Oryzias latipes: one gene and its partner. The protein of the gene in region 1 purifies or fractionates together with the protein of each later gene. This does not show direct contact. Links are inferred from orthologs where the notes say so. Each region holds a gene or a part of one and is shown in the gene's direction. Other genes may lie near its edges. The genes, in order: cdc123 and eif2s2.

Region 1 (4,454 bases):
TTTATGCTCCTGAATCACAATAATTTGAATAAAAAAATACTCAAAAGTGCCATTTTTACTGTAATTTTCATAATTTATGTCCTTCATCATGAGAATTATGCCACAAGAATTTGTGAAAAACAGAATTTTCACCTTTAAAATGTTCCTACAGATGTAAAAATCAATCCATGTTTGTTTGGGTGGGAGACATCTAAACCACAAAAACTAATCTTTCTAAGGCAAAATAAAGCAATAATTCTGTTTATAATGGACTAATTCTTTCAGAAACCTTTGTCTTAGATTTAGAATACCACAACAAGGTAATCCCAGATGGCCTAAACAGGAGAAAATTAACTTTAAAGTAAAATAATCAGTATATTTTGACATTATCACTATAACATCATTGTTCCTAAAAATAACTCTAATAAGTTTGTTTTGCATAAAATAAAATGTATTTTGTCTATTATTATAAATTAAATGTATAAAAATTATGTAAAATTCAAAAGAAAAAGACGGGTTTCTAACTGAGCTTGTCCTAAACTGTGAAAATACAAACATAAAATACTTTAAGATCAACTAAACATGACATATTAACTCTTGAAAATACTAGCAAACTTATTCTTTATTTTATTTTAATGGGATTTCAGAAAGTGACAGACCTTTAAAGCTCTTTAAAGCTTCAGCAAAGTTAAAAAATGTGGTTAGATATTTGAAACTGCAGCAAACAAAATGCATTTTTCAGGAACAAACAAAAGACCAACCTCTTCTTTGACGACATGTGGGGTTGTGGTCCCTTTGGTTTCTTCGGGATTACTCATTTTTACAGTTTGGACGACTGAAGAGGGAACATAAGAAGGTAGAAAGTTCAGAAACATCGCGCCATGATGCTCCTCCAGCTCTCACACAAAAACTCAAAGCTACAAGCACACAACCTCAGCGCTAACAGACAACAAGAACCAAAGAAAAGCCAACAAAACGTGTGCAAACTGTTCTGACAGCGCAACAACAGCAAGACGCTTTCGGGACCCCAGATCCCCAAAGACTAAGAGTTTTAAATTTTAGTAAACCCGAAAATCTGGAAACTAAACTCACGTGAAAGCTGGAACCAGTGGGAGAAGACAGTAAAAATAAAAAGGCGGCTCACTCCGTACCTCTTTCTGTTGTCGTGGAAAAGCAATTTTTATTGTTATTGTTTTTCCAAAATGTATTAAATTTGTGATTATAATATGCTATACGTTCTTTAATATAAATTGGTAATTATTCATATGTGTACCACGTTTTTTGGAACAAAAATAATAATAAGTGAAACGTCTTTACAATCAACGATCTATGCCCTGCGTTTCGTGAATATGAACTGCAGACCGGCGTGTCCCTTCTAAGACTGTCCCCTCTCAAGAATTCTTACACAATTCCTATTAACTCAAATATACATACAATACATACCGTCAATATTTTTTTATGATTTTAAACCCGTTTTAAATAACACATATAGAAATAAGTTAACAGCCTGTGGCGTAGTGTTGTTTAAATTGAAACACGGAACTGAGGTCAGGGGTGGGAAGATTTTAAGTGACGGACGTTTCCTGTACAGCATGAAGAAGGAGCAGGTTGTTAACTGTCAGTTTTCGGCTTGGTACCCGATTTTCAAAAAACATACGATAAAAAGGTGACTTTTTAAAAACTACTACACTTAGTGCTACTGTAAAAACCCGTTCTAGTGTTCACTTTCATAACAAAACGTCAAGCTGGCGTCTGTATTTCTTTAGTTCAATTGTTGAACTTATGATTCTAGTTTCCCTATATTATCACCTACAATTTGCACCTTAAATTATATTAATTCAAATGAATGTTGTGCCTGTTTTCTAGTTTAATTCTTCCATTGCCTCAGAATGTAATCGACTATTTACTGGACGATGGGACGCTGGTGGTTTCTGGGAGGTAAGATTAAAAAAATCCAACACAATTTATTTGCTCTGATGCGTTTAGGTGCAGTGGGAAATCTGAAGTTTAAAAGAACCCGGTTTTATATAATTTATTCTTTTTTTTCCAGTTTGTAGATGTCTTGGCTTTTAACTGGTTTAATCTTGTTTTTTTTAATCATATCTGCAGGGCTTGTGACTTTGCTTGCTAGATTTGTTTTGTATGCTCTTTTTCTCACATTCTGAAATAGTAAAGAACAAAAAGGGTCAATTATGTTTTTATTTTTGATGTGAAAACTCACTGAAACTCTCTTCTTATGAAAACCAAAAATCAAGTAATTTTCTGATCTCCTAAAGTATCAGATTATTCAAAAATGTAAACAGAAAAATCAATTGACCTGAACCCCAGAACACTTTCACTATGAGAAGTTACACCACCGCTTTTGCTGGGTAATTATTTTCCTGATATAATATACCCAACAAAAGGACTTGTCAGAAAAAAATGAGTGGTTTTCTTTTGTTTCAACGGTGGTATCTGCAGCAACATGAAAAAGATAAACAGGAAGTTTCTAAAAACGTGCTCAAAAATTACTGAAAAACTGGGAATTTGAGAACAAAAAAAATTCCTAAAAATAATCAAAAGATACTAGAAATGTTGTCGTTGGTCCGGCCGTTCCTGGGACATGTGAGACTTCCCTGGGGAAGGCACAGACTCCTTCACACACGACATACTGAAATTCATGTAAATAGTTATGTTTGGGTGAAAATGACCCGGCGATGGCGCTTTGGGGTTTGGAGATGTAAAATGAATATGCCTTTGTTTCTCACCAATAACTAGACTTGTGTATATTTCTGCAAATTCCGTCTTGTTCTTTCTCGTCTGAGGATTTGTGAAAGGAAACAAAAATAACAGCAAAGGGTTATTACCATGTGAGTGGAAAGAAGATGAAGGACGGGATGAATCCTTTTCTCTTCATGGCTTCATGGCTTCATGCAGCCTCCTAAAAGATCTAAAAGGAAGTTGTTTTTTTACATTGAAATGAGGATCGGCCCCTTGAGTGAAACATATGTTAGCATGTGGATGTACGTCTGTATGGAATGATATTACACCAGCTAGAATTTCAATTAAAATTGATAATTAAAAAAAAGATAATGATAAAAAAATTAATGTATCATTCCACTTTAAATTAGAAATAAGTTAAACCTGAGAAGGCCAAAGCTGCTTTTTCTGGATTCATTTTCAGTAAAAATATAAATAAGCGAATGTAATTTATCAAATCCAATGAAATTATTTCCGCCTTTTTTACGTTCTTTCAGTAAAAAAACAAAAATAACAGCCTTTAGTTTAGTTAGTGTTTTATGAAAAAAAAAGATAATTCTGTAAATGACATCTTTGTTCAGTTGAAACAGCTAACGATAGAAAAACTTTTTCCAAAAACCAGTTTTGGATGAAAATATATTCGTCTTTTTTGAATTATTTTGAATTGTAAACCTCTGAATCCAATTTGAATTCATGTAAATAATTTTAAACCTAGTTGTGTTTAATCAGCAGGTCATAATCCAATCTGGTGCTAAAATAGTTAATAATAGTTTTAAGGTTTGTTTGTTTTAGTCCAAAGTCTACTGAACGTGGAAGCAAATGCTCATCTAAGCACAGTTTTATTGTTGGTTCATTCATCAGAGACCCACTCTGATGAAAATTGTGTTTTTGGTGTTTTGTAGCATTTTTCTCATCATGATGGACACATAGAAAGAAAATTGGGCTTAATATTCTGAGCATTTCTTTATTCCGATCGTTGTGAATCGGGGAAAAAGCTCTTAGATGTGACGTAGGCGCAATCAGCAGGCCGCCATCTCCCCGCTCCGCTCCATTCTGATGCATCTTCCAGACAGACGGATCCACGGACGTCTCCGTTTTCCTGGTCTCAGTTTAAACCTGTTAGGATGGATAGATCTCTATTGCTCGCCATTTTTGTGGCGCCGCCATTGTTAGTTTGGGAGTTTGAGGAGCTGTAAGCTAAATGGGTCTCAGCAAAGGTGAGGGGAAGGGGGGCGGGCTTGCCTCCCACGCCAATGGTCCCACCCACAACTCAGCAGGGAATTTCTCAATGAACTTGTGCGGAAACGATCTTGGAATTGAAAGAGCACTGGGAACGCTTTGAAAAAGGATCTAAGGATGATGGGAGCGGGACTTCAAACGTGTTTCACAAACGTTTGCCTTTCCTCTCCCGTCAGTGATCAGAACACGCAGCCGAGGCACACGGACAACAGCGACTCAGAGGACCAGGAGGACGTGCAGGTGGGATCACGCTTCGGCTTTAGACCAAAAATGAAACTCTCCAGTCTTTGATAACCGAGCAGAACAACTAATTGTTCAGCTAAAACCTTCTTCTTTTTCTTTCTCCTTCCTTCTAGTGGTCAGATGATGAAACGACAACAACAGTGACAGTAAGTTCATTTGTCTGCTCTGCTGTTCTGCACAGAGGTCACCTGACATCGGTGGATGATGATGATGATGAGGAGGAGGAGGGGGAGGAGGAAGAGGAAGGAAGGTTC
Region 2 (4,259 bases), on another chromosome or scaffold:
AGACCATATGATGTATGACAATCCCTAGTATTGTGAACTACAATTCTAATGTTATTTATTTCCATTTTAATTATTTTCCTTTTTATTTATTTCTGTTGTACGGTTAGGATTAGGGTTCTAATAAAGAATTAAAAAAATGTAAAAAGAAAACAACAAAAAACAACTAGAATCTTTTGGATCACTTGACATCAAAGGGGGCCCAGTTCTTGCCTTTATTTATTTTTTAATCTTTTGTCATTTTTTCTGTGAAACTGATTTTCAAACTCAGTAATTCAACCCCGTAACATGTAAATAAAATGGACAACTTCTACTTGCAAAGTAGTTTTAGTCTTTTAAATAAGTATGTTAAATCTGAACTTCATGACCTCTTCATAATGTTCAGTACATGAAGCAGCAGCCATTTTGTGCAAAAATCTCAACCCAGTCACACTCCACTCTGTTGTGTTTTAGTGCAACGGGGTTGAGAGACTGTGGCAAGGTTGAGATTTAAGAACTTTGATTGTTTGATAACGCAAGTATTTTAAAAAATGATCATTTATTACAATGGAAATTGCCATTCTGCTTCAGGCTGAACACAATTTCTGTTTCGTGTGAGTGGCAGAGAAGGAATCCAAGGGAAAATATCCACCCTTCACACTCACAGCTTTGAAACACGTCATACTTCAATTTGAGTCTGATTTTCTTATGGTTAATTAGTTATCATTATATACATAAAGATAAAGGAAAGTCCTAACACTGAATTTCATGATTAAGAAACTATACATAGGTCCATATTTGTCCCTTCAACCCTGTCACGATCTTCAACTGTTTCAACCCCGTAACACAAATATTATCAGAAAATAATTATTAAAAATAAAATAAATAAAAAAACATTTATGGTTTGTTTACATTTTTCCTAAAATATTGAGAATATCATATGATTTGGTTTTTAACAATATTCTTCAATTGCGATATACATAGAAAAAAATAAAATTTCAGTAAAAAAAATGACAAAATTTGACTACAAACTAATTCATTTTGACTAATGGAACAGCATTTTTATTTCCCTTAAAAAGTTGCAACAGTTTGTTTTGTATTGCATCAAATATTGTTGCTAATTCTTTCTAGTTGGGTGACGTGAGTCATGCGCCGTCGCAAAGAAAAGACGTCAAAATTCCTCCTCTTTGCGATTGCGCACTGTGGTCCGTCGCTGATGCAAGAAATTTTACGCGGAGATCTGAGGCTGGTCGAAGGATAAGAAGTTCTGTGATTTGTATCGTTTTTTCATTGTGCAAACATGTCGGGAGACGAGGTGAGTCTTCTTTGATTATCAACCATTATTCGCTGTCAGTGCCGTGACTTTTGGGATGCAGTTAGCGGAACTTTAGGAGCCGATTGGTGTTGAGGTGGGGCCTGGCTCCACACGATTCCCCTTGGCAGCGGCAACTCTCACATGGTGGCAGCTGGGCTAACAGCGGCCCAGACAGACGAATTAAACAAGAAAATGTCCAGCTCACCGCTTTTTGTTAAATATTTACTAGTAGATCCACCCTTATGGAACCTTCAACGTCGAAAAGACCAGTTAATTGATACAAAAAAGAAGTTAATGTTAGCTAGTAGTTAGCGAAGCGCGCGACGCTAACCGACAGTCACTTCTGTGTTAGCAAGCCCAAGCTACTCCGACTGTTCTGTGAAGAACAGACGATGACACAACTACCTTTTGTGTTTAAATACATTATGTAACTAATTTAGATAACAGAGTTGCTACAACTCTTCTGCCATTATGGAAATCTGAGAGCACAAATAACAGGAAATCCGATGTCACGTATTTATAACTATTCTGTGTCCTGCAGCCTGCCTGAACTGCTTAACTTGCTATGTGATATGCTGGTAAAATAATCATGTTTTAACCCAGATCAAACATGTCCGATTTTTAAACGGGTTTCATTAACTACAATTACTCTCCATGTCAAACTTCAAATTTTTGTAGGTATGATGTCGGCCTCATGACTGATTTCTTTTTTTTACCCCCCCCCCCCCTCATTTCATTTGTAGATGATTTTTGATCCTAACATGACCAAGAAGAAAAAGAAGAAGAAGAAGCCTTTCATGGTGGATGAGGAAGGAGGAGAGGGCGCAGGAGGAGAAGAGGCGAAAGAGGGAGAAGCAAAGGAGGTCGAGCCAGAGGTTGAAGAGAAAGAAGTGGATCTAGAAGAAGATGAAAGCAGGAAGAAAGGTTGGCAAAATGAATGTTTTCAAGCTGAACTAGACTTTACAGCTGCACTATTATGAATTGTTCTTGAGATTTTCACTGCACGCTACTTACTTGACATCAGTTAAATTTCTTTTAGAACCATCGGATGATTTGAATGACCTGAACTTTGCCAACCAGAAGAAAAAGAAGAAGAAACCTAAAAAAGTGTTCGATGATTTAGAAGAAGAATTAAAGGTGAGTTTTCTTTTTCTCCAACCAGTACCATATTCTGCAGCATCTTTACATGTTTCTCTAATTCAACTCTCTGTTCAATTCTAAAAATCCAGGAATTAAAAATTGAAGGCGAACAAACAAAGGCGCAAGAGGAGGACCTGGATTTGGTTCTTCCAACAAAAAAGAAGAAGCCAAAGAAAAGTGACTTTGATGAAGGAGGGAAAGAGTTGTTGGAAAACGATGAAGGTAGACATCAATTCCTGTTTGGCACATGAACATAAAGAAGCTGTTTGTGATTTTGATATTGTCTGCAGCACTGGAAGATGATGAGAGCAAGATCAGTGATGGGATTTCTTTCAGCTCCTCTACAGGACCTGCCTGGGCAGGCTCAGAAAGGGATTACACCTACGATGAGGTAAAAATCACCCAGAGTGTACAGATGTGTTCTGCAAATCTTGCTATTCGTATCCTCAAATGCATAATCTAACAACATCAAACCCCTCAAAATACAATTTTTTTTGGTAACAATGTTAGGATCTTGCCCTGTTTTTAATTCAACCCTATAACTCATGTCTCTTTCAGCTCCTAAATAGAGTCTTCAACATCATGAGAGAAAAGAACCCGGACATGGTGGCCGGAGAGAAGAGGAAGTTTGTGATGAAGCCTCCTCAAGTGGTCCGAGTGGGAACCAAAAAAACCTCTTTTGTCAACTTCACAGACATCTGCAAACTGTTAGCATCCGACTTTCCTTTTTTTATTTTATTTTTTCGCTCTCCTTTTATTTTTTTTATTTTTTCCCACGTAACTCTAAAACTGGCGTGTCATTCGTTTTGAACACAGGTTGCATCGTCAGCCTAAACATCTCCTCGCTTTTCTGCTGGCTGAGCTGGGAACGAGGTATCTGGAAAGCATAAACTGAGTGTAATTTTTTTTTTTTTTGGTACAAACAGTTTATGTCTGTTTTTCTAAAAACAAATGTTTTTGTCTGTAAACAGCGGCTCCATAGATGGAAATAATCAGCTGGTGATCAAAGGCAGATTTCAACAGAAACAGATTGAAAATGTGTTAAGAAGATACATCAGTAAGTCTAAAGTTTGTGGTTTATTACAGCTGAGTTAACCCTTTAAAACTCCGGTGTTGGCCTTCTTTCTGACAATCCCCATATTGGGATTAATAAAACCTTCTATTCTAAAGTATTCTATTCTAACTACTGTAACTCTTCGTCCGTTTATGCAATTACCATAAGGTAATTCAAGCTAATTCTAAAGCCTTCCGCAGATCTACAACACTTTACAGCAGTGACGTGCTTTCCCAGCCGATATAAATCAGGTGATTCTGTCTTGGAAAAAAGTGGCTTTGCACAGTTATTTAGCACTTAGCATTAGTAATGTGTTGCATATCAGTGCGTAGCCACTATGAAAAGCCGCTTTCTCTGCGTCAGAATCAGCTGATTCGCGGTGATTGTGTGAAGTGAATGGTCAGTGAGTTACGGTATGTCAGAGAGCACATGTTCTTTAGGTGGCACCGGTGACATTTCCAGTATTAAAGGGTTACCAGCATGAGAAATTTCAGTAACTAATAATGAATTAAAGGTATTTGGAGTTCGGAGATAAGCATTTTAAAAATTTTCACAAAGGAATTTACTAAACATAGGTCTTGTTGTGAGTTTCTAACATTACCTAGACCAATCACATTCTGTGTGCATTAAATAACTGAAACTTTTCTAATTTTTGCAGAGGAATATGTGACATGTCACACCTGCCGCTCTCCAGAAACCATCTTGCAGAAGGACACTCGTCTTTATTTCCTGCAGTGCGAGACCTGCCACTCCCGCTGCTCCGTGGCTAGCATC

What was found.
Region 2: the proteins of cdc123 (region 1) and eif2s2 purify together in Homo sapiens (affinity purification with mass spectrometry; 4 studies listed by BioGRID and IntAct, counting the BioPlex papers as one, with this or other methods). This does not show direct contact. The link is inferred for Oryzias latipes from reciprocal best matches to the Homo sapiens genes CDC123 and EIF2S2.

The regions. Positions count from the first base shown.
Region 1 is NC_019881.2:2,947,173-2,951,626, reverse strand, and holds the start of cdc123 (cell division cycle protein 123 homolog), read left to right. Parts: upstream 1-1,523; 5' UTR 1,524-1,571; coding exon 1,572-1,645; intron 1,646-1,845; coding exon 1,846-1,917; intron 1,918-4,133; coding exon 4,134-4,197; intron 4,198-4,313; coding exon 4,314-4,346; intron 4,347-4,454. Other genes in the region: nudt5 (ADP-sugar pyrophosphatase), read right to left, coding at 741-854. UniProt on the Homo sapiens protein: ATP-dependent protein-folding chaperone for the eIF2 complex. Binds to the gamma subunit of the eIF2 complex which allows the subunit to assemble with the alpha and beta subunits.
Region 2 is NC_019865.2:7,389,720-7,393,978, reverse strand, and holds the start of eif2s2 (eukaryotic translation initiation factor 2 subunit 2), read left to right. Parts: upstream 1-1,160; 5' UTR 1,161-1,276; coding exon 1,277-1,291; intron 1,292-2,034; coding exon 2,035-2,215; intron 2,216-2,315; coding exon 2,316-2,428; intron 2,429-2,520; coding exon 2,521-2,653; intron 2,654-2,721; coding exon 2,722-2,822; intron 2,823-2,989; coding exon 2,990-3,138; intron 3,139-3,247; coding exon 3,248-3,304; intron 3,305-3,402; coding exon 3,403-3,488; intron 3,489-4,143; coding exon 4,144-4,259.